Callithrix jacchus: one gene and its partners. The protein of the gene in region 2 interacts with the protein of the main gene of each other region in a pairwise test. Links are inferred from orthologs where the notes say so. Each region holds a gene or a part of one and is shown on either strand. Other genes may lie near its edges.

Evidence for each region.
Region 1: the proteins of UBQLN1 (region 2) and NME3 interact in binary tests that used the Homo sapiens proteins (3 or more experiments, as listed by UniProt). The two-hybrid records come from large-scale screens. The link is inferred for Callithrix jacchus from reciprocal best matches to the Homo sapiens genes UBQLN1 and NME3.
Region 3: the proteins of UBQLN1 (region 2) and TRIM32 interact in binary tests that used the Homo sapiens proteins (3 or more experiments, as listed by UniProt). The two-hybrid records come from large-scale screens. The link is inferred for Callithrix jacchus from reciprocal best matches to the Homo sapiens genes UBQLN1 and TRIM32.
Region 4: the proteins of UBQLN1 (region 2) and RIC8A interact in binary tests that used the Homo sapiens proteins (3 or more experiments, as listed by UniProt). The link is inferred for Callithrix jacchus from reciprocal best matches to the Homo sapiens genes UBQLN1 and RIC8A.
Region 5: the proteins of UBQLN1 (region 2) and ZG16 interact in binary tests that used the Homo sapiens proteins (3 or more experiments, as listed by UniProt). The link is inferred for Callithrix jacchus from reciprocal best matches to the Homo sapiens genes UBQLN1 and ZG16.
Region 6: the proteins of UBQLN1 (region 2) and retrotransposon Gag-like protein 8A interact in binary tests that used the Homo sapiens proteins (3 or more experiments, as listed by UniProt). The two-hybrid records come from large-scale screens. The link is inferred for Callithrix jacchus from reciprocal best matches to the Homo sapiens genes UBQLN1 and RTL8A.
Region 7: the proteins of UBQLN1 (region 2) and SCG2 interact in binary tests that used the Homo sapiens proteins (3 or more experiments, as listed by UniProt). The two-hybrid records come from large-scale screens. The link is inferred for Callithrix jacchus from reciprocal best matches to the Homo sapiens genes UBQLN1 and SCG2.

The regions. Positions count from the first base shown.
Region 1 is NC_133513.1:4,028,166-4,032,042, forward strand, and holds NME3 (nucleoside diphosphate kinase 3), read right to left. Parts: upstream 2,203-3,877; 5' UTR 2,179-2,202; coding exon 2,133-2,178; intron 2,050-2,132; coding exon 1,919-2,049; intron 1,812-1,918; coding exon 1,710-1,811; intron 1,633-1,709; coding exon 1,520-1,632; intron 1,421-1,519; coding exon 1,303-1,420; 3' UTR 1,036-1,302; downstream 1-1,035. Other genes in the region: MRPS34 (small ribosomal subunit protein mS34), read right to left, coding at 2,847-3,139, 3,229-3,271, 3,450-3,770. UniProt on the Homo sapiens protein: Catalyzes the phosphorylation of ribonucleosides and deoxyribonucleoside diphosphates, other than ATP, into the corresponding triphosphates with ATP as the major phosphate donor.
Region 2 is NC_133502.1:99,346,792-99,351,058, forward strand, and holds part of UBQLN1 (ubiquilin-1), read left to right. Parts: intron 1-536; coding exon 537-679; intron 680-3,404; coding exon 3,405-3,488; intron 3,489-4,267. UniProt on the Homo sapiens protein: Plays an important role in the regulation of different protein degradation mechanisms and pathways including ubiquitin-proteasome system (UPS), autophagy and endoplasmic reticulum-associated protein degradation (ERAD) pathway.
Region 3 is NC_133502.1:165,023,040-165,027,846, reverse strand, and holds the start of TRIM32 (E3 ubiquitin-protein ligase TRIM32), read right to left. Parts: upstream 3,169-4,807; 5' UTR 2,817-3,168; intron 1-2,816. UniProt on the Homo sapiens protein: E3 ubiquitin ligase that plays a role in various biological processes including neural stem cell differentiation, innate immunity, inflammatory resonse and autophagy.
Region 4 is NC_133511.1:131,720,907-131,723,912, forward strand, and holds part of RIC8A (chaperone Ric-8A), read right to left. Parts: intron 2,700-3,006; coding exon 2,608-2,699; intron 2,037-2,607; coding exon 1,886-2,036; intron 875-1,885; coding exon 779-874; intron 676-778; coding exon 531-675; intron 461-530; coding exon 316-460; intron 11-315; coding exon 1-10.
Region 5 is NC_133513.1:29,729,774-29,734,674, forward strand, and holds ZG16 (zymogen granule membrane protein 16), read right to left. Parts: upstream 2,919-4,901; 5' UTR 2,868-2,918; exon of another isoform or gene 2,737-2,867; intron 1,927-2,736; 5' UTR 1,920-1,926; coding exon 1,859-1,919; intron 1,676-1,858; coding exon 1,543-1,675; intron 1,114-1,542; coding exon 798-1,113; 3' UTR 705-797; downstream 1-704. UniProt on the Homo sapiens protein: May play a role in protein trafficking. May act as a linker molecule between the submembranous matrix on the luminal side of zymogen granule membrane (ZGM) and aggregated secretory proteins during granule formation in the TGN.
Region 6 is NC_133524.1:130,627,391-130,631,183, forward strand, and holds retrotransposon Gag-like protein 8A, read right to left. Parts: upstream 1,895-3,793; 5' UTR 1,858-1,894; coding exon 1,516-1,857; 3' UTR 696-1,515; downstream 1-695.
Region 7 is NC_133507.1:145,325,625-145,329,224, reverse strand, and holds the end of SCG2 (secretogranin-2), read left to right. Parts: intron 1-657; 5' UTR 658-671; coding exon 672-2,534; 3' UTR 2,535-2,952; downstream 2,953-3,600. UniProt on the Homo sapiens protein: Neuroendocrine protein of the granin family that regulates the biogenesis of secretory granules.

The DNA of each region.
Region 1 (3,877 bases), on a different chromosome or scaffold from region 2:
AGGGGAACCGGACCAGGCACTAGCCTTTGCCTAGGGAGGTGGGCCTCAGGCTGCCCAGGTGCCTGTACCCCAGCTGGCCTTCTTTGGGGCCTCCCTGTCCTCAAACCCCTATCCTCTGTCTGTCCCTATCCTGGCTGTCCCCTGCCCAGGGAGTTGGCATCAAAGCACGAGGCCCAGCTCCCCAGGGCAGCTGCTTGAGAAGAGACTGCTACCCCATCCCGTCCATGCAGGCAGGGTCTCACCAGCCCTGCTCTGACCTGTGTCCCCTCAGGCTCTGCCTGGGCAGAAGACTGCTTGGAGGAGTGGGCCCTGGAGTCCTGTGCCTCCTAGAAGCCCCTGGGGTGACATTTCTCAGGCTGCCAGGGCAGGCCCAGGCCTCAGGAAGAAGGGGAGGCCCCTGGCCTCCCCGGGGTCAGTCCTGGGACGCAGGCTCAGCCTCAGGTTGGTGGGGGATGGTGTGCTCCTGGGGCCTGCCTCCTGCATGGGGCTCTACAGAGCCCAGCTCCCAGACACGCTACTAAGTGCCTAGGGTTGCCCGCTGTGGCCGGTTCCCCAGGAGCAACAGAGAGGCCACCAAGTGGAGGCCCATGGAGCTGAGGATGGAGCCGCCTCCAGCAGACTCCAAGCGCACAGGGAGCAGTCACCACCCTGGACTGCACTCCCTGCCCAGCCGGGCCTCGCTGGCCCACTCCCACCTTCCAGGCCCACTGCACTCCTGTCCGGGAGGCCCCAACGAGGGCAGCCCAGTCCCTCCCCATCCCCAACCAGAGAAGCACAGATCTTGGGGAGCTGCCCCATGAGCCCTGCCGGCCACCGTGGGCTGCAGCCGCTGTGCTGCTGGCTTCTCCCCACGACCCTGCCACCTCCACTGTGATGTACGTCCGGTCCCTCGTCTGTTCCCCCAGGATCTGGAAGTGACTCCCGGCTGACGGATGGGGCGGCTGGGGGAGGGGGTGACGATTCTCCTCAGGCTTTGGTCCTGCAAGCAAACCCACATATCTGCTCTGTATGTAATAAACGTCTTAACGCCGTAGCTGCCTGTTCCGGGACCAAACCCACACGAGAACTAGGACTTTATTATAAAAAGAAATGTTGGACCACTTTGGGCTGGGCGCCAGGACAGGGTCCTGGCACGTTTCCAGGTGAGCCCTGTACGCCAGGGATTGGGGGGTCCCATGCCACCCTCCATGCACCGTCCTGACAAATGTTCAACATCCCATCAGAAGGGACGTTCAAAGTGCTGCAGGGCGGGTCCGAAAGCCTGGCCACCTGGGCCCTGGAGGAGGCTGGTGCCCCACCGGGCTACTCATACAGCCAGTGCCCGGCACTGTCCTCCCAGCACAGGAGCTCCTCTGCGCGGAACCAGAGCGCGATCTCGCGGCGGGCACTCTCCACCGAGTCGCTGCCGTGAATGAGGTTCCTGAGAGGAAGAGGCGCGCGTGAGCGCAGGAAGGAGAGCTCGGGCACGGGTCCCACGCAGGCCAGACAGGGCTGGGACCGTCCCCGGGTCCGGCCTTACTTGCCAACCTCGATGCAGAAATCCCCGCGGATGGTGCCGGGCTGGGCGTCGGCCGGGTTCGTGGCCCCGATGAGCGCCCGCGAGGCGCGCACCACGTCCAGCCCCTGCCACACCTGTGCGGGAGGGTCGGGGGCGGTGTCACGCGGAGGCGGAGGTCCCGGGGCCGCCCGCCCGCTTCCCAGGTACTCACCATGGCCACCACCGGCCCGGAGGCCATGTACTTAACCAGGCGGCCGTAGAACGGGCGCTCGCGCAGCTCGGCGTAGTGTTCGCGCAGAAGCTCCTCGGAGGCCTGCGAAAGGGTCAGGCCGCCTGCGCCCGCGCCTGGGACCCAGGCGTCCCCAGGTCCCCGCCCCGCGCCCGCTCACCCCGTCCCTCCACCGCGCCCCGCGCCCCGACCTGCACCAGCTTCAGCGCCACCAGCTTAAAGCCCTTCCTCTCGAAGCGCCGCACGATCTCGCCCACCAGCCGCCGCTGCACGCCGTCCGGCTTCACGGCCAGGAAGGTGCGCTCGTGTGCGCCGGTGCAGGCTGCGGGGCGGGCGGGGACCGGGCGTCAGGCCAGCCCCGCACTGCCCGCCCGACCCCGGCACGCGCCGCGCCGCGCCGCTCACCCGCGGGGAAGAGGTTGGCGAAGATGGTCAGCACCAAGCAGATCATGATGGCGGCGCCCGAGCGAGCTCTGCGGGGCGGGGCGGCGGCGCCTGGGGCGGGGCCTGCGCTTAAAGGGGCCTGGACCCGGCACGGCGGCCTCCGCGGACCGCTTTGCTTGCACCCCGGAACCCAGCAGCCGTAGGGGGCCGGAGAGCAGCTGCGGAGGCCAAGTCTCCTCCAGTGGCTCGGACTCTTAACTGTACCCGCCCCAAGCCGCCCAGGTGGTTCCACCCACGCGACGCCCTGCTCCCGCACCGCCCGCGCCCCCAGACCAGGGCCGTGACCACGGCGTCAGCCTCTCCCCGGTCCTGCAGAGAGCGCGCAAATAAAACGCAACCCTGGCCCGTGTTTATCTTCTATTTCCCTTTATTTATCGTTTGTTTCCTTTCGTTTCTTTCTTACTCCCTAGTTTCTGCCTGGATCCCACCAGAAAGAGCTCCAATGGGGGAAGGGGCCAGCACCTCCGGCTTTCCCCCGCGTGCCCTCCGAGCTGGCTGTGGGGGCGGCAGGGCCGGAGGAAAAGACAGCTGGCGATCTGCCCAGCCCTGTCCACTACGAGGCAGCCCGTCAGAACACGTCACGGGGCGGACTCAGGTGCAACGCAAGGATGGCTTCTTTCACCAGCAAGGTCCCCGCGGCCTCAGCCCCTCAGGCCACCCGCCGGCTCTGGCGTTCTAGACCCGGGTGCCCTTGGCCCTTCCTTTGGTCTCCTGTTTTGCAGGGTAGTCCCAGGGTTCCACGCGTATCCCCTGCACATTCAGCATGGGCTCCTCGGCGCTCGTGTCTCCATTTTTCTGTCGTTGTGCGAGAATCATGGCCCGGAGGAGCGGGGGGTACGGCACGGCGGGCAGGCTGTCCTCGGGCGCCGGCGTGAACGCGGTGAAGGCCTCCTCCTCGTGCTTGGGCACCAGCCGCCAGTCGTGGTACATGACGTGTTCGATCTCCCGCGCCTCGCTCTCCGTCTTACCTGGCGAAGGAAAGAGGCGTCCTGCACTCACGTGCTGTGTCCTCGGCGGCCGGCAATGACCGCCGGGCACCTGCTCTCCCGAGCCTTACCTTTGAAGGTCAGGATGCCCCAGGCCTTCCCGTGGTCCAGGTTCTGCAAAGCCAGGGGAAAGTGGGTCGTCAGCTCGCAAGGCTCGCGGCCTCCGAGTCAGCAGGGGGAGCCTCAACCCCACAAACCTGCAGAAACGGGGGAGGCGGGGCCGCCCCGCGAGCCCGCCCGGGAGGGGAGACCCGGCGGCTGCAGGAGGGGGGCTGCCGACGTGTGCACGCACCTGCGCGGTGTGGTCGGGCCGCACCCGCGTAAGGCGCCAGTAGCACGGCTCGTCGTGCTGCCACAGCCAGGACTTGCGCGTGACCAGGCGGCCCAGGCCGAAGAGCGGGAGGCGGTTGAGCAGCTGCAGGAGGCGGCTCTCGCGGCGCACGTCGACCCAGGCCCGGACCGGCAGCCGCCGTCCGGAGAACGGCCGCGTCAGGGACTCGTAGTCCAGGGCGTAGAGCTGCGAGTCGCGCGGCCGGTTCTGCTGCTCCCGCAGGGCGCGCACGCGGCGTGCCAGCTCCGCGATCAGCCGCGGACGCACCTTCTTCCGCGCCATGGTGGGTCCAACTCCTCGGCGCTCCGGCCGGAAGCCGCTGCCACCGCGCGCCCCCAGGCCCGCCCACCACCGGAAGAGGCTGGTGTCTCAGGCTAAAGTGTTCGGGC
Region 2 (4,267 bases):
TCAGGCTCCTCATACTGCTTCGAGTTGCTGTGCTCTATGGTTTCAAATGTTAAATGTGCCTACCATTTTACTTAGTGAGTGCCAGTACTCAGTGAAAATGGCTGGAGGCATTACATATTTTGTTCCCTTGGGCGTGAAGGCTTCCTTCTTTTATAAGGCTGAGCAATATTGAGTGCAGAATATGATTCTAATTAATCTTTTGCAGTCCTAGAGAAAAAGTTGGCTCAGTCTTTTTTACTTTATGGAATTTTTCAGCAGTAATTTTGACCATATCTGATTTTTGCCTTAAATTGACTTTAGAAGCTAGTCCTTCATGAGACAAGATTTTACCGTAAATGCAACCAGAATGTTTAAACTCGTGTCTTCTTTTACTGGTATATGTTGGGCATGTCCTTTTAAAGATCTTTTAGTTTTAAAGTTCTTTCATAGTTAGTTGATACATAATATATATAATCATTTGTACTTGGTAAAATTAAACACAGTGCATATTGTATTTTAAAGCTTTAACTTTTGTTTTTTTTAAAACAAACTTTCAGCTAGTATGTTCAACACTCCAGGAATGCAGAGCTTGTTGCAACAAATAACTGAAAACCCACAACTTATGCAAAACATGTTGTCTGCCCCCTACATGAGAAGCATGATGCAGTCACTAAGCCAGAATCCTGACCTTGCTGCACAGGTGAGTTTGTATTTGCATTGAAAAGGACTGTGCAATGTGAACCTAATCTAGTAATTGTGATTTTGGCACATTTGTGTTGTGTATGATATCTTAATGTACTAGAAAAGTAAGTAAACTGTGTCTCCAATTTTTTTAGACCATGTGTTTCTTTGTAGTAATTAAATACTTCATATATAATTAAAACAACTTTATCTCTGTCATTCATTGACTAGAAAGAGGTATAGGTTTACTTTGTTTCTACATATGTTGAGTTAGGAGACAAGTACAAAGTGCTGTAATGCCCTCTCTTTTGAAGATACACTATTTAATGAAATGTTAATCTTGAAAGCAAGTAATAGCAGTGTTAATACATTTGAAATAGTTTTATTTAGTAGATCACTAAGATTATAATAGTCATGCTCAAAATGGCAGTTGTAAAATAGCAGGAAGTCTTTATTAAAGATGGGAATTTGTCAAAACAATGTTCTCATTCTTTCAACTATTGATTCCCCTGCTGAAGATAGTATGCTTATCCCTTATTAATGTATTCCTTTTTCTAATTTGTTTCTAAAGAGACTAAAACTAAGAAAATTAGGGGATCTCAAAGTTTGCTGAACTTTCAGGAACACTTGGGAAGCTTTACAGACAGTTCTGATGCTTTGGCCCCATCCTTAGAGATTTTGATATAATTGCATCTGAAAACCCCTTCCCCCTCAAGTTCCCTAGGTACTGTCTAGGTTCCATACCATAGGGCTTAAGAAACCACGGAGAATGAAATAAACCTTGATCATCTGTAGTTTATATTTGCTGTTTATTAGAAACAACTGCTGTAGTGTGTCAGGAATTTGAAACACTTTATAGTTAATCCCATTCCTTAAATTTTAAAAGTTTTAAGTCAAATGAATGGTTTTTATTTTCTAAATTCTAGAAGTATATTGATTCAAGTATCTTCGATGTATAATTCTCAGCCCTCACCAAATTTGTGGAATTGGAAATAATACATTTTAAGAAGAATTTTTGTGTCTTTGATTTTGTTTATTGGAGGTACATTTTATGGAAAATTGATTTATTCATATGAAACTTATCAGACTGAGTTGTTAATGGCTTAGTTTACTGTAATAGCCATTTTAAGTGTGTATTTGGCTAATACTGAATGTGCATCGTACTTTTAAAATTTGACTTTAACAAGCACATGCCTAGCAATTTTTAATAATATTATAGTAGTAAAGTGACTTGAGCACTCACATACTGTTTTTTTTACTCTAAAGCAAAATGCTGCTAATACTAGATTGGCATGTCTTATTACACATAATTTAGAAAACTATTACAACGTTCTTATTATCAACAGATTAAAATGTGTGGTTTTTCTATTTTGAGTTTTAAATATTTACAAAGAGTCTGGAGTGTAAACTTGTGGTATAAGCACTCAGGTAAGTTATAAGAAATACCCTAATGAATGAGATGATCATCTGCGAATGAATACATTTAAGATGACATGCTTTTTTAAGATTAAATAAAGTAACTCCCAAAAGATATGTGTGATAACCTTGTTAATATGTTTGTAATAAAGAAGTATTTAACTGGAACCACTACAGAAGCGGGTTTCTTGACCTTAAGCAGGTATTACTTTCTGTGAACTTATTGGTCATTTTGAAATAAATATGTATGTTCCTGCAAGGTCATCTGACTTCTCCTTTGGTTATTATATTAAAATTAACTAAAAGATCCACTTTGCAAGAATTGGGGCAAATTTTCTCTACCAGCATTTACATTGGTCTTAAATACGGTTAACTACTTGAGGGTGAGGATCATTTCCTCCCCAGACTTTGGATAGGTAAATAGGCTATCAGTAAATCCTTGCTAGTTGACTTTTTACTCTGGGGAAAATGATATAAAGTGTGTCTTTTGACGCTATGAGAATTTATTAGTTTCTGGTTATGCTGATTGTGTATTTTAATCTTATTTTCAGGTATATGACATCATACTAATACTGATTCTGATTTTTAAATTCTAAACATTTATTTGAAGGTTAGGAGATGCCACTTTTCTCATCTCTGGTGGTAGTGAGGTGAAATCCAGATGCTAATCTTGGTGTTCTCAAATGGATTTACATCTTTTAGGTCTTAAATTATTTTAATACTTTCCCCAGAGGACTGTTGGTGCTAGGCCTGGCTGATTTTCACCTAGCAGCTCCATTTCTCTGGCAAGTTGGTTGCTGTTTTGTGGTGTTATTTTTTTGGACCTAATATTAGCAGTTTTGTAGTAGGCAGGTAGATGTAGTGGTCCTTTTCAGATCTGGATTTTCTCGTGCTTGCCACTTGTGTGTTGAGGTTTCTAAGCAAGCCATGTTACATAGTTTCATGTATTGATGTTTATGTTTATTCTGTCAGTGTAGTAGAAAATATATCTTCATGAATGCCAGTTACTCTCATTTTTCTTTCAATGGCAAGTATTGACCTTTGTTCAAGGAAAAGCCTAAGAAAATGATTGCTTTTATTTTTTAGGATATTGCATGTCATTACCATAACCACCATTCTCATTGAGAGAGAAGATGCATCGCTTTTGTTTTTGTTGTTCTGGAGATCCCTCTTGTGGACAGTATCTTCCCTTTTCCTTTTTTATTTATGTTCTACCTTCCTCCCTTTTAAGTGCCAGTTTAGGCACTTGGGGGAAGGTAGAATAAAACAAGGTACATTACTTGTTTCAGATATTTCCAGTAAAAATTGTTTGAACACTTGCCCCATAGATGATGCTGAATAATCCCCTATTTGCTGGAAATCCTCAGCTTCAAGAACAAATGAGACAACAGCTCCCAACTTTCCTCCAACAAGTGAGTAAGACAAGATGTTAGCTATCTTGGGTAATGATTTGCTTGAAAAAATTTGATGATGAACATTTTCCTTGTTCTTCTCTGGCTGATAGCAAAACATGGAATAGAGACTGATAATGCTGTCAATTCGTAGAGAATTCAGCCCTATCTTAACAGAGTCCCATTTCACTGCTGACTTTTTGCTTATGTTTCTCAAACATAAATTCTGAGGAAAGAACCATTTCGTTTTTGCTTTTGAGGACCTAGGATTTTGAATGCTTTGTTAATACCATAAACCATTTCCTTTCACTGTACTAACTTTGAAGTGCTTCCTTGTGTCATGTTACGCTTTATGGTTTAACTAATTTTGAGTAACAGGAAAGAGCTACCCTATTCTATTTTACAGGTTGTTTTCTTCCAAATTAATAGAATGCTTTTTTTCCCCAAGGGGTAGATCTCATTTCCTCAAACTCGGGATTAGTGATTAAAATGGTCAGTGTTGTCATATAAGGAAGGTTATGTTATAAACAAGTACTTGAGATTGGCCATGGTATTTTATTATTTAAAACGATAAAAGAGAAGTCAGTCTTGGTGTTTTGAAACTGGTAGTTCTGGGGCTTTATATATTTTGTAGTGACTCTCAGGCTTGTAAACCATTTTCCAAGGTTAGTTGGTATCCTTGATCTATTGTAATGATGTAAGCCTATCTTTGGTTAGTCAGGTGGTGTATATTTGGAAGTAGTAAAGCTAAATTCAGGATACATGTATTGTCAAATTTGGAACTGTTGTTTTAGAGTGTA
Region 3 (4,807 bases), about 66 Mb from region 2:
GGGAATGTCACAAAGGTTACACATCAGTGTGCATAGACAATGATCTACTTTAAGGGCCTTACAAACTTCTGGCTTCCAACTACTCTCCAGACATAAACATAGGGGTTCTGAAGGGCTGGAAAAGCCTTCTAAGAAAACTACTATAATGTAACATAGGAATAAGACAGAACTGGGTTTGCATCCCAACCCTAGCCACTTGCTCTGTAGCCCTGGGTACGTTCTCATCTGTAAACAAGGAATAAAACCCAGAATGTTAGCAGGATGATTGAATTCACTAAGATAACACACATAATAAGCACTCAATAAATGATCATCATGTGCATTTTTAATAGATTGAGGGTGACAGGACAAGTACTTGTCCAAGTAGCATAAGAAATTAGCAACAGAGTAAGGAGTTTAGACAGGGCTGACTGAATTCCCATGACATATTTTCTTTTAGGGATGTGCGCGGATGTTCCAGCTAAACCTTAGCAGTCAGATGCAGTCTAGCTTTGTTTCTGAACTGGCTTCAGCAACGCTGTAGCTAGTCCTGGAGATGATAGAGCCAATGCTATTATTTTGTTCCAGGGAAAAGCAGCCCAAAAGAGATCACACAGAACAGTGATTACTCTCCTTCAGAATATGAATGCCTTAAGCCTCAGTCCCTGCTATGAGGTGTTTTCTCAAGCCAACGGCCTCCATACCTCACCCCATAGTCTGTTGCACCTCATTCTGCCTGGTAACCTCAAACTCGTCTCCTTATCTAGCCCCTGGTCTTGGTCTAAGAGCAAACCAAGAACAAAGTCCAGGGCTCCTCCCTACCTAATCAGAGAGATTTACCTTCTCCGCCCCCCCACCCCCCCACCCCGCCACCCCGTCTTTGATAGTCACTGGGCAATCCTCTTTTTCATTAGAGGGGAATGGGCTGAGAAAATAAGACTAAGCAGGCCTTAGAAAGGAAGTAGCAAGGAAAAAGGGAATATACAGAGCTACAGAGATTTGGGTATGAGCTTATGTGTCATTCCTAGCTATGGAAACTTAGGCAAGTCACTTCCTAAGCCTTAGTTCCCTCGTGTAAAACTGAAAACAGCAGAGCCTACTTAGAAAGATACGAAAACTGAATAAAGAAGTAGATATAAGACTAAAAGTTACTAGATTTTGAGAACATACTATGTGCCAGATCCTAGGCATGCTAATTTATTTCACTAAATCCTCACAATTCTGTGACATAGGTCGTTATCATAACCCCATTTTACAGGTGAAGAGTCAAGGCACTGGGTGGTTAAGTAACTCATTCAAGGCCACAAAGTCAGGAAGAGACAGAGCTAGGGCTTGAACCCAGGATATCTGACTCTAGGGCAGAGTGCCTCAACTTTGGCAGTACTGACATTTTAGGCAGGATAATTCCTTACTGGGGAGCAGGGGCTTATCCCATGCATTATCAAATGTTTAACATTAACATAAAACATTAACATGTTTCATCTACCCACTTGAAGCCAGTAGTATTCCCCACCCTAACTGTGACAACCAAAAAACATCTCCAGACATTGCCTAATGTCTCCAAGGTGACAAAACCACCCCTGGTTAAGAACCACTTCTTTATAGTCTGGCACAGGACTAAATGCTCAATACATAAGGGTTCCCTTTTATTTTTGTCTCTCTCAGAGCCCAAACACCTCATTCACAGAGGCACCGCCCCTTCAAGCTGTAATGGATCTTAGATAGGATTAATTATTCCACTTATTCCCCTGGAGGTCTCACATTCTATCTGCTATCGCAGCTTGTGGGTACAAGGAAAAGGGGCTTAGGTAGATGACCTTGAATAGTTCCATTTCTTCTTCCCCAAAGCCCACCATTTTCAGTGGCCTGGGGGTGTCAGAGGGGAGTTAGTGGCAATACCATACCTGCCTCATGATAATGGATATTTGTTTAATAAATGAAGAAGATTCTGCCCTTCACAAGGATCACCACACTCCTTCAGGATCTCTGAACTGAAGATGTATCACTTCGTTCCTCAACACCTGAACTCTGCTCATCTTCATATACTCATCTATATCATACATTACTTTTAGGTCCTTGGGTCCCCTGAACTCCATCTGTCTCCCATGCAGCGATTTAAGGAAAATCTCTTCAGCAGTCCAAGACACCAGTCCACAAACCGACTCAGGGTTTTTTGATTCTATAGCCCAGTTAGGACATCTCTACCCTATGATTCAATCCTCTCCAAACCCTGTCCCCAACCCTCTTACAATACCAAATTCCAATCTCTGGCGCTGTATACTGCAACCCTCATCAATTCCTCACTCCTATGCCCCAAATCCCTCGGACATAGATCCTTTAATCCCTGTTTCCAAATCTCTGCTGCACTCAGCCCTGCACCTCAGTTCAACGGCCCAATTCCACACTTGATTTCTGCTCTCCCTCATTCTGAGCCCCCCATCTCCTGCATTCCATCAGGCACTGTGCCGCTCTCAAACCCTGTTCCTTCCTCTTACGCACTGAATGTCACATGCTGGCTTCACAGTTCAGCCAGGTCCCTTCTTTCTGCTAACAAGACAGAGTCCCTCAAGAACTCATCCCCATCCCCTCAATCTCACGCTCATCCCACTCCGAAAACCCTCTCTCACTAGCACTGAGGATCGACCTAGACCTTGCTCCTATCATCTCAGACCCTGTCCTTGCCAGATGCCTAGCGCCCCCAGATTCCCTTAAATCTCATCGGGGGTCCCCAGTTCCTTCATATTTCTGAAATTCTGCACCCAGGTCCCTCCAGGGCCCTGATTCCCTCCCATCTCCCACATGCTGCACCCCATTTCTCCTCTCGGCCCCCACATTACCTCATACCTCCCGAAATGCTTCAAACGCAAATCTCTTCAGAGCACCTCGCTCCCCTCCCCCAGCTGCATCTCCTCGGATCTCCTCAGCCCCATGAATCTCTCCCGAGCCTGCCCCTAGCAGCCCCACCCCCACCCCAGTCCTGCCCCTCAGATCCGGTCCACAGACTCTGCCATTCGGGCGCGGCCGCTGCTCGCCGGCACGGCCCTCCGCCCCGCTACTGTGCCACCGCCCACGACTCCGGCCGCGGTCCCTGGTCCCCAACCCTCCTTCCCGCCCCCTACCTGACCGCCCGCGGCTCCAACGAGTCCACCGCCGCCAGCCCACCCGCCTGCCGCCTTCTGCGCACGCGCCGCTGAGCGCCCCTTGCCGGGCGGCAACTCGCAGAGCTCCCTGTCAGTCATTGAGCCCCGCCCCCCGAGGCAAGCTGGGTCTTGTAGTGCCGCGGGGCCGGTCGGCCCTGCAGGGGTGAGCATTCCTCTGAGAACCCGGGGGCCTTAGCTACACGTAATCCAGTTTTCCGTCTCGTTGTGCAGATGAAGAAACCGAGGCCCACGGGCGAAAGGGACCTGCTCAAGTTCATTCAGTAAGTCAGGAGATAAGCCAGAACGCGTTTCTGACTCCAGTCCCAATGTCTACCCCTTACAAAGCCGTGGCTTCCAGGGTAGTCCTAATCAAAGCCTTGGCACCTCGCTGAGTCTCAGTTTTTCTATCAAAGAAATGGGCCAACGGTAGAATCAAACTTCCATCCTGGGGAAGTCGAGAACCGGGACTCCCTGGGAAGGGCAGTGCTTGGGCTCCATGTTCTGTGCTCTGACACAGAGCTGCGCTAGAGACAAGTTTATCCATGAACACATTGCTCTGTAAAGGAATGAATGTTTTGCCTACTCAGCTGGGAAGTCGACAGCAGACGCAGACGTGGGGAATACTGTCCCTGCAGACAGAGCTTCCCGGGAACCCACACCAAGTCTAGTTTTGGAGAGTCAGGGGTGAAGGTGGGGGAGTCTTACCGGGTGGGAAGTTGTCTGGCCTGAGATTTGAGGGAATCTGGGGCACTAGGCATCTGGCAAGGACGAGGTCTGATAGAGGACTGGCTGGCCATAACCTGCAGTCCCTGAGGTAGTTTGGGGACAATCGCATGCTCTCCAAGGTGACTATACTGCATAGCTTAGGAGCACAAAGGAGTTTGAAGTAGGATGGCCTTGGATTTGAAATTCCACTTAGCTATGCGACCCTTGCACAATGATAAAACCATGAACAAAAACAATAACTAACACCTTTGGATACTTGCTGTCTGGCTATAGCTAAGGACTTCAGGTGCGTGGCTCACTAAATCCTCCTAAGGACTTCATAAGATAAGGCAGCTGGTGGTTAACCTACACCTGTTGTGTAACCTAGGCGGTTACACAGCAAACCTGTGCCTGTTGGAGCCCTGATTTGTACCCGATTCTATCTGGGAACCCACTCTCTTAACCTTGTTTACTCTCTCTCCCCATTTTCTAAATTTCTAAATGAAGTTTGCTATGAAGATAAACCAAGATTATGGTAGTTTGCAGTTGGTAACTGTATTTGAAAAATTGTAATTAGCAAGTAGGGGATAAGGGAGAGGCGGTGCCAAATGCTTTCTCACTTATACTCCCTTCTTATACGAGTTAGGGAGACTTTGCATTCTTTTTTCCTGAAAACCACAGTTATCAGCCCAATGTATAAATTTCGGACTGTTCGTAGTCTTACACATATACATGTTATATGTATATGTATGTGTGTGTGTATATATATATATATCTCAATACAGACATATCGATGTTTCCCTAATGACAGAAAAGTGTTAAAAATATTCCTGGGGATCTATCTCAAGCAAGTGTTTTGAAAAAAACAAACAAAAAAACAAAAAAAAACTCCTCTCTCTTAAAAAAAAAAATCAGTGTTTGAATTTTTTTTAATGTTTAAATTACTTACCAGTTAAATGAATTATTATACTGCCCACAAACTG
Region 4 (3,006 bases), on a different chromosome or scaffold from region 2:
CGGGTTTATGCTGCTTCCCATGGGGTAGAGTGTAAGGAATGCATTAGTGACTCTCCAGGACAGGAGGCAAGACACATTTTCCCATGGGGTGAGAGGGGGCAGGGCAAGGCAACTGCAGGAAGAGGCCTCCCTCCAGGAGCAGCAGTTAACCAGCTCCTGCCACCTGCCACCTTCTGGTATCCCAGATAGCACTTAGGAACAGGAGCCTGATTCTGGAAGGTCCTGCCCATGTGTCATCCTGTCCCACCTACCCTACATGGGTCCATATGGGTGTGGCTCTGAGTGGGAACCCCAAGGGTGTGTTGGGGCACATACCTGGCCTTTGCTTCCTTGTACTCATCTGTGTCTGTGTCCTCATCTTCTGAGTACTGGCCCTCGGGCCGGCCTCCCGCCATGAGGCCCCTGGCAGCCAGAAGGCCAGCAGCATTCCCATAGCCCGTGTACTTGATAAATCGGGGCACTGAGGAGCAAGGCAGAGGTCAGTGCAAGCCTGGCTTAGGTGGGGTGGGACCTGGGCCTCCATAACTCACCACTCTCAGAGCACAGGACAAACAAGAACTCGGCAGCCACCCTCTTCACGTCTGTGTCCAGGTGCGTCATGAGGCGGACAAGCTTGTTCCGAAGCATCTCCCCAACCTCGGGCCGTGTCCTCACATCCCGCAGAGGGGGCAGCACCTGGGGAGGCGGCCGTCCCTCAGCTTCGGCTTGGAGCAGCCAAGAGTCTGTGATCAGGGCCCAACCCACATCTCCCAGGAGCGCCAGCTTCTGAGCCTCATACCTGGGCCTTCAGGAACTTCCTGGCTGGGCGGTGCATCCGGGCACACTCAGTCAGCACGTTTAGCACAGGAGCTACGCTCTCTTTCAGCCTGTGTGTCTGTAGAGAAGCCTCTGTCATCAGGCTTATGGCCCTACCTAATTTGAGACTGGCGCAGAGTTACATCCCCAAAACCCCCTGCCCCCGCCCCCAAGACACACCAGCTGGTCCTAGCGGCAGGGGTTTGGGAAGAGACCCCTCTGCAGTTAGTCAGTGGAGGGCCAAGAGTGGGTGCTAGGTATCTGTGTCAGTTTTGAAAGGGGCGGGGATAGAGCCCAACTCAGAAGTTTTGTGACTTGGCTCAAATAACTGCTTCAATTATAAGCCAGGGATGGGAAGAAAACACAAAGCAATTCAAGCTTTGGCACACACATTGACCTCAGATGACGGTGGCAAAAAGAAACGAGAACTGAATCCCTGCTCGGTGTACTTCATGGACAGAAAGCAGGGAGTTCCTGTCCCTCCTAGCATAATGTGCCTGGACCCTAGTATCAGCAGTGGCAGCGACGGGGACAGCTGACCCCAGCTGTGTGCCCAATGCCAGGTCCCTATCCTGACTGGCTCACATGCACCATGTGTGTCCTCTGCTTAGGCAGGTAGATTCCCAAGACGTCTACTGAACCTGCTTTCTGCAAGAGCCTGGAGAATGGTTAGAGCCCAGCTGTCCAGATGCCCCACAGTGCAGTCACAGGAATCAGAGGGAACCTTTGATCAGAGGTTCCTGTGGGTCTCTTCAGGGTGCTGAGGGACAGCCATGCTTATAATCAAGGGCTGCCTGTGTCTAAGAGTTAAAAGCAGGGACTGGGGGAGCTTCTCAGGACCACTCAATAAAAATCCACAAATATTTAAGCAGAAGTGAAACCTTTAAGTGTGTGGAGGGTGTCCACATGCTTCTCATGGAGGAAGGGTCTGGCTTCTTGCCAGGCTGAACCTCAGAACAGCCAAAAGAACTGCCCATATCACATCACCAAGATGATCTCCACTTACCAGTGTGGAAGCACTGACCACAGCTGTGCAGGACAGCCAGCGCCAGAGACACTGGGGGAGCCTGCACAGCCATCCCCAGCCTACCTGGTGCAAACGCTTCTCTAGGAAGATGAGGAGGGCACGAATCACATCCATATTCACTCCCATGAACTCCACGGAGTCTTCGTGTGGCTCCAGGGTGAGGAGAACATCCAGACACTTGAGGGGCAAGTTCCCCAAGAGGTTCACTGCATGGCTGGGGACAGGAGACGGGGGTCTCAATAGAGCTAATCCCTTGGCACAGGTGCAATCTTTGTGCCCCCACTGAACCACACATTACACGAGCTGGCGTCTGAGGACCTAAAGGAGCAACACTAGGGACCAAAAACAAAGGCAGAGACCGATCGTAGAGGCACTGCCACTCAGCTGTACAGTGGGGTCCCCTGGGGAGGTGGGGGCACTCAGACACCCTAACTGCCCCACCCTGTCTGGGCTAAAGTGCCACCATCTCTGGAAACCCAGATCAGCCTAGGGGCAGGTGGCCCAAGAAGGGGGACAAGGGACCAAAATGCCCAGTAAACAGCATGTATCTGTTGCCACTACCCAAGGTCCAGTTGGCACATTCCTGTCCCCAGATTCATGGCTCCTGTCCTGGCCACCTATTGGAAGCACTCAGTATTCTCCGGAAACACTGATGTCCAGTACCATTCACTCAGACAAAGTCAGACCCCCCCCAGGGTGGGGCCTGGGCTCTCAGGCGGTTCTGGTCCACAGGGTTGAGGACCACTAGCTAGACAATGTGGCCATAGAAAAAGCCATGTCCTCACCCGTGGAACTCCTCTGTGCGGTCTCCAGCAGTAGTAATCATCACACAGTGCCGGAGAAGGACCCCCAGGTGCTGGTAAAGGGCAGCATCTTCCTGACCAAAGAAAGAAGGGTTCCTGTGAGGAGCCCCACTCATCCCACTGCTGCCTGCTGAGGCTCTACTGTCTTGCACTCCAAGAATATGTGGCACTGACTGTGCAGCTCCCATACTCCATGCCTGACCCCCTGGGGTCTCCTAAGTGACTTTGGTAGTGCTGGGGGCAAAAGATGACCACCTCTGTCTTCTTAAAAGCACCTCCGCCGAGGCGGGTGGATCACGGGGTCAAGAGATCGAGACCATCCCGGTCAACATGGTGAAACCCTGTCTCTACTAAAAACACAAAAAACATTAGCTGGGCATG
Region 5 (4,901 bases), on a different chromosome or scaffold from region 2:
AGACCTTATTAGTGATCTCTTTCCAGAATCTTCAGCCTCTTCCTCTTTGTTCCTCTTTATCATGTGAACATGCTCATGACTCTCCTGTCTGGGATTTTAAAAAGACACAAAACCCTTTTGCCTTACATCGCCCCCCATAACTGACTTGCCTATTTTCTGGCAGCCCAGACCAAACTTCTTGCTGCCTATGTTTTCTCAACTCCCATTTATTCCTTAACGAGTTCAGCCTGGTGGGCACAGACTTCAGCTGTTTCAGGAGTTAAGTGGGTTTTGGGAAAGAACAAAGGGGAATGGTCCCAGCCACCCACACACAGCATGTGAGTTTAGCACTTTCTCAAGGGGAGGACCAGGGGTGAAGAGAGCTGGAGGGTGGGACATCTGGGGTTTAAAAGCCACAACTAGGCCTTCCTCTAGGTCAAGAGTTAGAGACCAGCCTGACCAACATGGAGAAAACCCAGGAGATCCAGGACTCCTGTTTGGATTAACATTCTGAAGAGCTGTCCTTGAAGAGCATTGATGCAAGCCAGAATCCCATCTCCTCTTGATAAATCATAGCACAAAGCCCAGGATTCTTACACACCTCTCCCTCATCTTCCCACTCTTCCCAGACTGATGTCCAAAGCCAGCCAGAAGTGAGATTCGCACGTCCCCCGGCTGAGTCAGGAGGCAGATCCTAGCTACAGATGCCCACACACACACCAACCTTAGCCGTATTTTTTATTGAGCCATTTGGATGGGGGTGAGTGATAAGTGAGTTCTTACTCCTTACCACAGTGCCCCTGCCAAGGGGAGGGGGGTCAGCAGCTGCTGCAGGTACTGGGGTAGACATCCCAGTGCAGGCCAATGGCATCGATGACGGCACCAGACCGGCCACTGATGAATCGGAGCACCGTGTTGGGATGCAGGGGGACGGCATTGAAACTTGTGCCAGTGTCTTTCCCAAAAGGCAGATAGCGGCCCTTGTCTGTCACAAAGACCAGCTTCCTCAGGTAGCGCTTATACTTCCCAGAAACCTGGATCACGGATTCCCCAGGGTGCAGAAAGATCTCCTCCAGGTCTCCTGAGGAGCCACCCACATAGTTGCTCCACACCTTCCCATAACGCACCTGGAGACTGGGGGAGAAGGGAGGAGGGAAGGAGAATGGTGATGGCAGGGATGACAGATCTGCTCGTCCTACAGACTGTGAAGCCTGAGTGAGCCCTGTAAGATCCTACAGGTAACTTCAACTCATTTTGCCAACTAAGAGACCCTGTCACCCAGGCTGGAATGCAGTGATTCAACCTTGGCTCACTGCAGCCTCAGCATCCTGATTGCTCAGGCAATCCTCCCGCCTCTCCCTCCTGAGTAGTTGAGGCTGCAGGTGCTTGCCACCATGCCTGGCTAAGTTTCGTTTTTGTTTTTCTTTGGTAGAGATGCGGTCTTGCTATCTTGCCCAGGCTGAGCTGGAACTCCTGGCCTCAAGTGATCTGCCTCTGCCTCCCAAAGCATTGTAATGACAGGTGTGAGCCACTGCACCCAGCCGGGATCTCAAAGAATCTTACCCTATGATGTAGTATTTGCTGACTCGGACCCGAAAGGCGGTGATGGGGCCGTCCAGCTGGTTGCCAGAATGAGAGAATCTCTCTCCACCACCCCCTCCATACTCTCCGCTATAGGAGGAAGACCTGGCCTGAACTGGAGGGGCAAGCAGGAGTTAGAGGGAGAAATCTTCCAGGAGTTCAGTTTCTCTGCACCACCCCTGTTCCTCCCACATCCCAGCTCCCCACCCCAAGCCAGCCTCCAAAAGCTTTGGCCAACAGCAGTGCCCAAGGCTGCCTTCCCATGTCCCCATTACCAGGCTCCTGGTATCTCACTTACTGGCACTGGCAGAGGCTGAGGCACAGAGAAGAGCTAGGAGAGCAACGGTCAACATCAACATTCTGGGGCTGCAGTGGAAAGAAAAGAGCAAACGAAGATTCACCTTTTTCTTTGTGGACTTCATTGACCCAGGCACTCCTGACCTGCAGCTCAGGCCAAGGCTTCGTCCTTCAACTCAGACCTAGCAGACTCAGTCTTGAGCTTAGAAATGTCTGTCCATCGCCTGCAGTCCTTTTGCTTCCTGATTCTACATTCTGTGTCCCTGACCCCTCCAGCTCTTCCTGGTCTGGCTACAGCCAAGCCCTCCTCTTTTCTCTCGCCTGCAGATGAATCCTAACTATCTGGAGTAAACCTTACTCCCTCCTGGCACAAAGCAGAAATATTTTCTGAAATCAGCCAAGCTCAGGCACATTTGGGTTGGTATGGCCACAGCCAGGAAAGGAGTTTTCTAAGGAGAGAGTGGAGGATGCCTCCCAAGCACAGAGATGGTTGAGTTTACGGAGCCCGGAGTCTGAGCAAAGCCTCACCATCTGTGGTGGATTGGCCTGGCTTATGAAGCACCTGGAGCATGGTTTAAATCCCTAGCATCCACCTGTTGCAAGGAAAGTAGCATTTTAGGGGTGCCTCTATGTCACCTGGGGAGCAAAGTTGGTGACAGAAGGGACTGTGCCAGCACCAGTATCCAAGCAGCGCTGGTGGAACTAGGACAGACAGAGAAATTGCAGCAGGAGTCGGGACCAGCTCAGAATATTAGACCCCAGGTGCCTGGTCTGTGTGTCACCATTCTTTTCTCCGCTAACACACATCTAGCCATTTCCATCCCCCTGAACATCCCAGGCATCCCCAGTCCTTCAGCAGAGACCTAGACAGCTTTGCACCTAAGATTAGTGCAGATCCAGGAGCCCAATTAACTCAAGTCTTCCCTGCCACTCCGTCCAGGCATCCTCTCCTCCAGCTCAGATTTGAATTCCCCCCCAACTCAGATTCAGGCATCTCTGTCACCCCTTACCTGGCAGTTTCAGATGCAAAACACCCTGGAAACTTCCAGATGTTTTATACCAGGTCCAAGCCCTCCCCCTGCCCTTTATCGTGTGAACCTCACCTCCTGAGCAAACATGAGCAACCTCTTCGGATCAGGTGTCAGGCAGGGTCCGGAACACCTTATCCTGCCTCTCCTCCATAGTCAATAGATACTACATCGTAGGGTAAGATTCTTTTGAAATCCTGGCTGGGCATGGTGGCCCACATCTGTCATTACAATGCTTTGGGAGGCAAAGGCAGATTGCTTGAGCCAGGAGTTCTAGCTCAGCCTGGGCAAGATATCGAGATCTCATCTCTATCAAAACAAAAAACAAAAACAAAAATTAGCTGGGCACAGTGGCGAGCACCTGTAGCCTCAACTACTCAGGAGGGAGAGGCAGAAGGATTGCCTGAGCCTGAGATGTTGAGGCTGCAGGGAGCCAAGATTGCACCACTGCACTCCAGCCTGGGTGACAGGTAGCAGGGTGGAGTCCACTCTGGGCGAAGTGCCATATATCAGGAGGAGCATAGTAAACTTGAGGTTGCCAATCGAAGGGCCAGCAGCTCTGGATGGGCAAAGTAGCTTATCACTTCTGTGCTTGATAGGTGCTCTCACCTGAAATCTGCCATCTGTCAGGACAAACAGAGCCCTTCTCAGGCATTCAAAATGTGGATTCTCCAAGAAAGGAATATACTCCCCAAACCTTATCCTTAGGAGTGCCGACTATTCGCCAGACACTTTTTTCTTTGCCTTTTCTAATATTATGAAAATTCCAAACACATATAAGTTTAAAAAATTGTATAGTGGCCAGGCACGGTGACTTACACCTGTAATCCATTTTGGGAGACTGAGGTGGGTGGATCACCTAAGGTCAGGAGTTCTAGACCATCCTGGCCAACATGGTGAAACTCTGTCTCTACTAAAAATACCTAAAAAATTAGCCAGGCATGGTGGCTAATGTGCCTGTAATCCCAGCTACTCAGGAGGCTGAGGCAGGAGAATCACTTGAACCTGGGGGGCGGAGGTTGCAGTGAGCTTAGATCATGCTACTGCACTCCAGCCTGGTCAACAGAGCTAGACTCAATCTCCAAAACAAAAAATGAATTGTATAGTGAGGCTGGGTGCGGTGGCTCATGCCTGTAATCTCAGCACTTTGAGAGGTTGAAGCAGGAGGGTTGCTTAAGTTTAGGAGTTCAAGACCAACCTGAGCAACAGAGGGAGATCTCATCTCTACAATTAGCCAGGCATGGTGGTGCACACCTGTGATCCCCGCTACTCAGGAGGCTGAGGCAGGAGGCTCACTTTAGCACAGGAGGTTGAAGTTGCAGTGAGCCATGATGGAAAGATCGTGTCTCAAAAAAAGAAAAAAAAAAAGAATTGTAGGGCTATGTCCTCCGGATTCCCCTTCCACAACAGTGTGGGAGCTCTAAAAACAAAGTAATAAAAAAAGAATTGTATAGTGAGTACTCATATAACCATAGATTCTACCATGGTTAATATCTTGCTGTCATTGCTTTATTTTCCATCCACCCATCTATCCTCAGTATGGCAAACCCTTCCCAAATCATTTCTCTCTGAGGATGCTTGGGCTGCAGGTGCACAGTGAACATGTACTGATCCCCCTCCCAGAAACAGAGTCAGTCCAATGGGAAATGGGAAGCTGAGAAACTGGAGGTCTGCAGGTGCTCCTCTGGGGGCAGTTCTGGGCTTTGGGCCCTCAGGTCTCCCTGGCACCATGACTGAATCTTCTGGGGCTGCAGGCCACCCAGGGCCATTGCTTCTTTCTTAGGTCTGTAACCTCCTCAGAGGTGATGTCATAGATTTGTTTTCTCTGTAGGCCCTTCACTTTCAGGATTTTCACTAGGGATTCCAGGCTGATTCCTCGCAGACTAAAACCCCTAGGACCGACTCCTGGGACCTAGTTCCTGACCCCTCTTGGACTGGCCCTCTGACCTCTCTGAATCAGCAGGTCCCAAAAGGGGAAGGATCGAGGCCCAGAAGGGCTGGAATAAGTACTCTCAA
Region 6 (3,793 bases), on a different chromosome or scaffold from region 2:
CATTTCAAAATGTCACCCCAGGTTCACACTTCTGAGAGGTATTAGTAAAAGAATGAAGATCACCTATGAATAACTAAGATCACATATGAATAACTAATAACTACTACAGTTATGTTTTTAGTTACTTTCTTCTTCATTATTTGTGTGGAAATAGGCTGAGGCCTTTTGCTCCAGCCTCAGCACTTATGGGATCTCCCCCCTAAACATCCCTTTCCCCATTACCTCCATATTCAAGGTTTTATAAATATAAATGCTTTAATAGAAGTACCTCTGCAATTCTCATGTTTCATTAATGAATCTCTGGTTAAATAAAACCTTGACAGGTGTTCATGAACAAATGTGTGGGATTTATGGTTTGTAACAATCTGAGATTTGTGCTTCCTAGCCATTTTTTGAAAATAAGGAAACCTTTTACAAAAAAATTTTTCCACATTGTCTTGGCCAAAATCAGATCAAGGTCTACTTCAAAAGGGGCATGAAACTGCCTGGTTTAGAAGGGTCACCATTTGGCATTAGATGGCTGCCAGTAAGATCTCCATCCCTACAAGACACCACAGGACTCAATCTTTTGTTTTTATAATGCAAGAGTCAACCTCAGCCATAGCATGACAGGGCACATAGCATTGGAACAAGATATGGACCCCATTTACAGAACTAGGGAGGAAAAGGTGCCATATTCATTGAGACTCCATCTCTTTTTTAATAATGTCTGACATTTATTAAAAATAAGGAAAAGACCCTTGTACAGGTAGTGTATTAGAGCAGGGCAGGGAGCAGGGGTTACTGTGTTGAAAAAAAGGCACCCATCAGAGAGACAGCTGCAAACTCAGAAGGAAACTGGATTCTAGGTGAACTAACTGGTCCACAGGAGAAAATGAGAGATTTGATTTGGTTGCCAGGCACACCTGAGCCCTGGCAGCCATGTGGCAGGAACACAAGACGTCTCTGGGGATGGGGAGGAAATGGGTCTCACTGAAGGTGACAGGCCCCTTGCGGGTCAGCCGGCTGTCTGGATCATTGTCCAGGGGCTGTGGCCAGTTCAGATACCTCTGAGGTGAGTCCAGGTCACTAGGAACAACAGTCCGTCGGTGGGATGTGGTGGACGGCGATGGTCTGTGGGCAGAATGCTGCAGTCGTCTGGCAGTCTGGAGGAGTGGAGTGGGGTTGGCAGCGGCGGCTGTGGGTGGTCTGTCCAGTGTGTAACAGGAGCCCAGCTTTGTGCAACTGGAGCGCAGGACAGCGTCCAAATATGCATGGGAGGGGCTGGGCTGGCAAGAGAGGGCGGCGGCGGCTCGCTCCAGAGTGAGACCCAGGGGCAGAAGCGGCAGCCTGGAGCACTATTCCTGGAACAGAGGCAAGCACTACACAGGACGGAACTGGAGCGCAGGGGACAAAACGGCGGCGAGAAGGAGAGGGAGGCGAGGAGGGAGGGTGCGTTTGGTGACCCTGGCGGCGGCCATTGGCACAGCGGACCCTCCCCAGAGCTCCCGGCCCCAGGCCCGAGGGGCTCCAGGCCTAGAAGTCCTCGTCCTCCTCCCATCCAAAGACCCGCTTCATCTCGGCCAGAAAGCCCCGGTAATCATTGAGGAGGGGGCTCTGCTTCTTGATGTAGGGGATCACCCACTGCAGGGCGGGCCCCGTGAGGCGGGTGATGAGGAACGTCACCTTCAGGGCGTCGTTGGAGAACGTGTTCTCGTCCACGAACATGTAGGAGCCCGTCTGCACGATGAACTCCGGGAGCCGGTCGGTATCGCCGTCAAACGTCTCGGGAAAGGGAATCGGGTTCCTCCAGCGACGCGCCGCGGGCAGGAGGGGCCAGGCCAGGAGGGCCTTCATCAGCTGCACCCGACCGTCCATGGCGCCGCACTCGCTGCGTGGGGCTCAGCGCAGAGTCTTCGCCGGAAGTGCATGTTCGGAGAGGCGGGCCCGGGCGGGGGTTTGCTGCGGGCTGAGCCATGGGGGAGGGCCCAAGCGCCAGCGCGAGCTCCGCCCGCAAAGCCTAGTTGTCGCCCGTGCTCAGGAGAGTCACCAGGCACACGGGAGCAAAGGGACCACGCGAGGTGGGGCAATGGCAGTTGAGGAGGCGGGGTCGGATCAAATAGTCGGGGCCGATATTTCCCACGCTGTGCAGGGAAGAGAGGCGGGGAGCAGGGGAGGGGCCCAGGGCTGCTGGTACGCTTGCGGGGGCGGAGCCCGCTGCCAATGGGGATCAGAGAGTTCACGTTCTTGGATGTGGATGAGGCACCCCACCTTGCTCCTCACTCAGTAGCTGTAGCGTATTCCTTCACAGACCCTGGGCTCGGGATGCCGCTTGGGTGAGGTTCTTTTAAAAACTATTTTAATGTGGCTGGGCGCGGTGGCTCACGCCTGTAATCTCAGCACTTTGGGAGGTCTTAGGTGGGCGGATCACGAGGTCAGGAGTTCGAGACCAGCCTGACCAACATGGTGAAACCACGTCTCTACTAAAAATACAAAAAATTAGCCAGGCGTCGTGGCCCGTGTTTGTAATCCCAGCTACTCAGGAGGCTGAGGCAGGAGAATCGCTTGTACCCTGGAGGTGGAGGTTGCAGAGAGTCGAGATCCTGCCACTGCACTCCAGCCTGGGTGACAGAGTGAGACTCCATCCCCCTAAAAAATATTTTCATGTTTAGTTTTTGTGGGTACATGGTAGGTGTATATATTGATGGGGTATATGAGATATTTTGCAATGAGTGAGGAGGCTCTGTGCATGAACGTTTTCCTGCTTCTTCATGCATCTCTCAGTAGAGAAGTATTGCATGTGGGTTACAGATGTGGTTTCCTTGCAACATTAATGGGAAATTCCCAAACATTAGAAAATATAATCCAAAGCAGCATATTCAATTAATTTAAGGAAGGTTAAACGTTAGGAAACATCCTAATTTACTGTATGTATTGTTTTTGTTTGTGATTCACATAGTTGTTTGATTCATTTGCTTACAGGGCTTATGCAGGCAAACCTCAAATCCGGGGCCCATCCATGGAGGGTTCTTGGCTTCGCTCAAGACAGAATTCAAGAGTGAGCAGACAGTGAGAAAAATAAAAGTTTATTAGAGCCACTGTGTGCAGCAGAATGGCTGCTCCATAGGCAGAGAGGAGCTATTCCATAGGCAGACTGGCCCAGAGTAGCACTTGTGGAATGCTGACTAGCTTTATTTGTGCCCACTCTTAATTGTATGCTAAATAAGGGGTGGATTATTCATGAACTTTTTGAAAAGATGCAGAGAATTCCCAGAACCATATAAGGTAACTTCTGAGTCATTGCCATGGCGTCATTTACAAACTGTCATGGCACTGCCGGGAGTGTCTTATGCAAATACACTATAATTCCTAGTCATATCTAGTTTTGGCCCATTTCTTTGCTGTATCCCGTTTTGATCAGCAGGGTCCTGAAAACAAGCCCTGCTCATCTCATACCTCAGAACAGTTCTGCCACAAAAGATTAAAGCACAAGATATCTATTATTCCTTCAATATCTACATTTTTCCAAGTTTTATACTGTACTACATCCTCAGTATGTCAACAGTTCTCACATATTTTGTCAAATGGGTAAAACTCTTCTAAATACGCAGATGTCTATACAGTAGTACTAGATGGGAAGGAGACATTGAGGGAAGAGGAAAAAGACAAACATGTTCATATACTAGAAACATAGTTTAAGTCTGGACTGTAAAACAATTTCCCTGAAAAAAGCTGGTTATAATGGAATTTCCAGAAATCTTCCTTTGCCCACCCAAAAGGACCTGAAAACCCCCAATCTAAACTTTTCAAAACT
Region 7 (3,600 bases), on a different chromosome or scaffold from region 2:
TTGGATTTGGTATCAGATTGAGAACAAGTTCTTTCTGAAAAATATATGTGGACACAACTCCCCACAAGGTAATTCAGTATGACTGGCATGTAACAGTATCACTTCGTCATATATGCTCATGTAACCACTGCTGTGTTTTAACAACAAAATTAGAAGAACATTTCAGGGAATAATCCACATTTTTTTGAAACAACATTAAGGACATGATTTGTGGGTGTGTATGTGTACATGGATGTTTTAAATTAAGCCAACAAATTATTTTGCCAATGACTTCAATATATAAAATAGCTAAAACATCTTGGGACGTATTTGTTACTTCATTACAAAGAAACAAGGTGTACTAACATCAAACTACATGTTCTGTAGATGAAAAAATAAAATTTGAGAAATCTCATATCAGTGTTTTTGTTGTTCTTTTAACTAAGAGAATGCTATGCAAGTTTGAGGTAAATGAGTAATAATTTTGCTAAAGATTCCTGTGGTTTGTGGAGATCATATAGAAAATATTCATGATTTTTTAAAAAGAGTTATCCTAAGTTTAATGTGAAATAATATCTACGTTGTTTTTTTCCTCCCCTCAATGACCAAATATTTCTTTTGCTATAGTGTCTTCTATTATGTTTTATTTGTGTTAACTCATATTTTCTTTGTTTTCAGGAACCCTTTCAAACATGGCTGAAGCAAAGACCCACTGGCTTGGAGCAGCCCTGTCTCTTACCCCTTTAATTTTCCTCATCTGTGGGGCTGAAGCAGCTTCATTTCAGAGAAACCAGCTGCTTCAGAAAGAACCAGACCTCAGGTTGGAAAATGTCCAAAAGTTTCCCAGTCCTGAAATGATCAGGGCTTTAGAGTACATAGAAAAGCTCCGGCAACAGGCTCACAAGGAAGAAAGCAGCCCAGACTATAATCCCTACCAAGGTATTGCTGTCCCCCTTCAGCAAAAGGAAAATGGTGATGAAAGTCACTTGCCTGAAAGTTCGAGGGATTCACTGAGTGAAGATGACTGGATGAGAATAATACTTGAAGCTTTGAGACAGGCTGAAAATGAGCCCCAGTCTGCACCAAAAGAAAATAAGCCGTATGTCTTGAATTCAGAAAAGAACTTTCCAGTGGACATGACTGATGATTATGAGACACAGCAGTGGCCAGAAAGAAAGCTCAAGCACATGCTATTCCCTCCTATGTATGAAGAGAATTCCAGGGATAACCCCTTTAAACGCACAAATGAAATCGTGGAGGAACAATATACTCCTCAAAGTCTCGCTACATTGGAATCTGTCTTCCAAGAGCTGGGGAAACTGACAGGACCAAACAACCAGAAACTTGAGAAGATTGATGAGGAGCAAAAACTTTATACGGATGATGAAGATGATATCTACAAGGCTAATAACATTGCCTATGAAGATGTGGTTGGGGGAGAAGATTGGAACCCAGCAGAGGAGAAAATAGAGAGTCAAACCCAGGAAGAGGTGAGAGACAGCAAAGAGAATGTAGGAAAAAATGAACAAATCAACGATGAGATGAAACGCTCAGGGCAGCTTGGCCTCCAGGAAGAAGATCTCAGGAAGGAAAGTAAAGACCAACTCTCAGATGACGTGTCCAAAGTAATTGCCTATTTGAAAAGGTTAGTAAATGCTGCAGGAAGTGGGGGGAGGTTACAGAATGGGCAAAATGGGGGAAAGGCCACCAGGCTTTTTGAGAAACCTCTTGATTCTCAGTCTATTTATCAGCTGATTGAAATCTCAAGGAATTTACAGATACCCCCAGAAGACTTAATTGAGATGCTTAAAACTGGAGAGAAGCCCAATGGATCTGTGGAACCGGAGCGGGAGCTTGACCTTCCTGTTGACCTAGATGACATCTCAGAGGCTGACTTAGACCATCCAGACGTGTACCAAAATAAGATGCTCTCCAAGAGTGGCTACCCTAAAATGCCTGGTAATGCTGGGACTGAGGCCCTACCAGATGGGCTCAGTGTTGAGGATATTTTAAATCTTTTAGGGATGGAGAGTGCAGCAAATCAGAAACCTTCATATTTTCCCAATCCATATAATGGAGAGAAAGTTCTGCCAAGGCTCCCCTATGGTCCTGGAAGAGCTAGATCGAACCAGTTTCCCAAAGCTGCCTTGATGCCGTATGTTGAAAACAGACAGATGGCATATGAAAACCTGAATGACAAGGATCAAGAATTAGGTGAGTACTTGGCTAGGATGCTAGTTAAATACCCTGAGATCATTAATTCAAACCAAGTGAAGCGAGTTCCTAGTCAAGGCTCATCTGAAGATGACCTACAGGAAGAGGAACAAATTGAGCAGGCCATCAAAGAGCATTTGAATCAAGGCAGCTCTCAGGAGACTGACAAGCTGTCCCCGGTGAGCAAAAGGTTCCCAGTGGGGCCCCCGAAGAATGATGATACCCCAAATAGGCAGTACTTGGATGAAGATCTATTAATGAAAGTGCTGGAATACCTTAACCAAGAAAAGGCAGAAAAGGGAAGGGAGCATATTACTAAGAGAGCAATGGAAAATATGTAAGCGCTTTCATTAATTACCCTACTTCCACTCCTCCCGTCCCAAGCAAACCCTAACATTTCTCTTTAGTGTGTTGACTTCTATCTTGTTAGCACTGTAATATCTTTAAATGATGTGCAGGCAGATGAATCCAGGTCACTGGGGAGTCTGCTTTGTTTCCTCTGAGCTGTTCTCGTGTATGGATATGTGTAAATGTTGTGACTCCTTGATAAAAAATTTATTATGTTCATTATCCAAGAAAGATATCTATGACTGTGTTTAATAGTGTATCTAATGGCTTTGGCATTGTTGATGCTCACACATGATGAAGAGTGTCCGATAGTTCTATTGAAAGTTTTTAATATTTATTGAATTATTTTGTTACTGTCTGTAGTGTTTTGTGGAGTACTGGAGCAAAGAAAAATAAAGCATTATAAATATATAGTTTTATTTATAAGGCCTTTTCTATTCCGTGTTTTACTGTTGATTAATAAATGTTATTTCTGGACAAATTTGGACTCTTAATTCCGGAAAACCAGAGACAATGACTCTGGAGCAAGCAGTATGAAGCCAAAGGAGAAAATCATCTTCACCAGATCATTCCGGTAAGAAGTAATAAGATTTCATACATGTGCTCAGAGATCTGTTTGCAGAATGCCGCATCCTCTCACAGCCCACTAGTTATGCTCGGCCATGGTTTTCCTCATATAGATAATCTATAGAGTAATATAGGGCATAATCTTGATGTAGTAGGTATATTTTTTACTCTTGATTTATATAAGTAAAAGAAATGTAAGTCTCCAATATCCATAACCAGCATCAAAACAAAAACAGAAAGAAAAAGAAAAGGCTGCATATATGGCAATCAAAAATGACTACAGACTTGAAAGCAAACTGTCTATTCCCAGGTCATGTTGGTTCCCAGAATACAAGGCTGTTGTCTCTCTTATGTGACTTGAGAGGGGCCAAAGGACCCCCAAACTGACCAGTAGGTAAGCGAAGGAGCACAGTCACAGTGGGAACAGACCAGCCCCATCTCCTGCCCTAGTGGCAAGGCAGTGCATGATTATTACAGCACACATCACTTTAG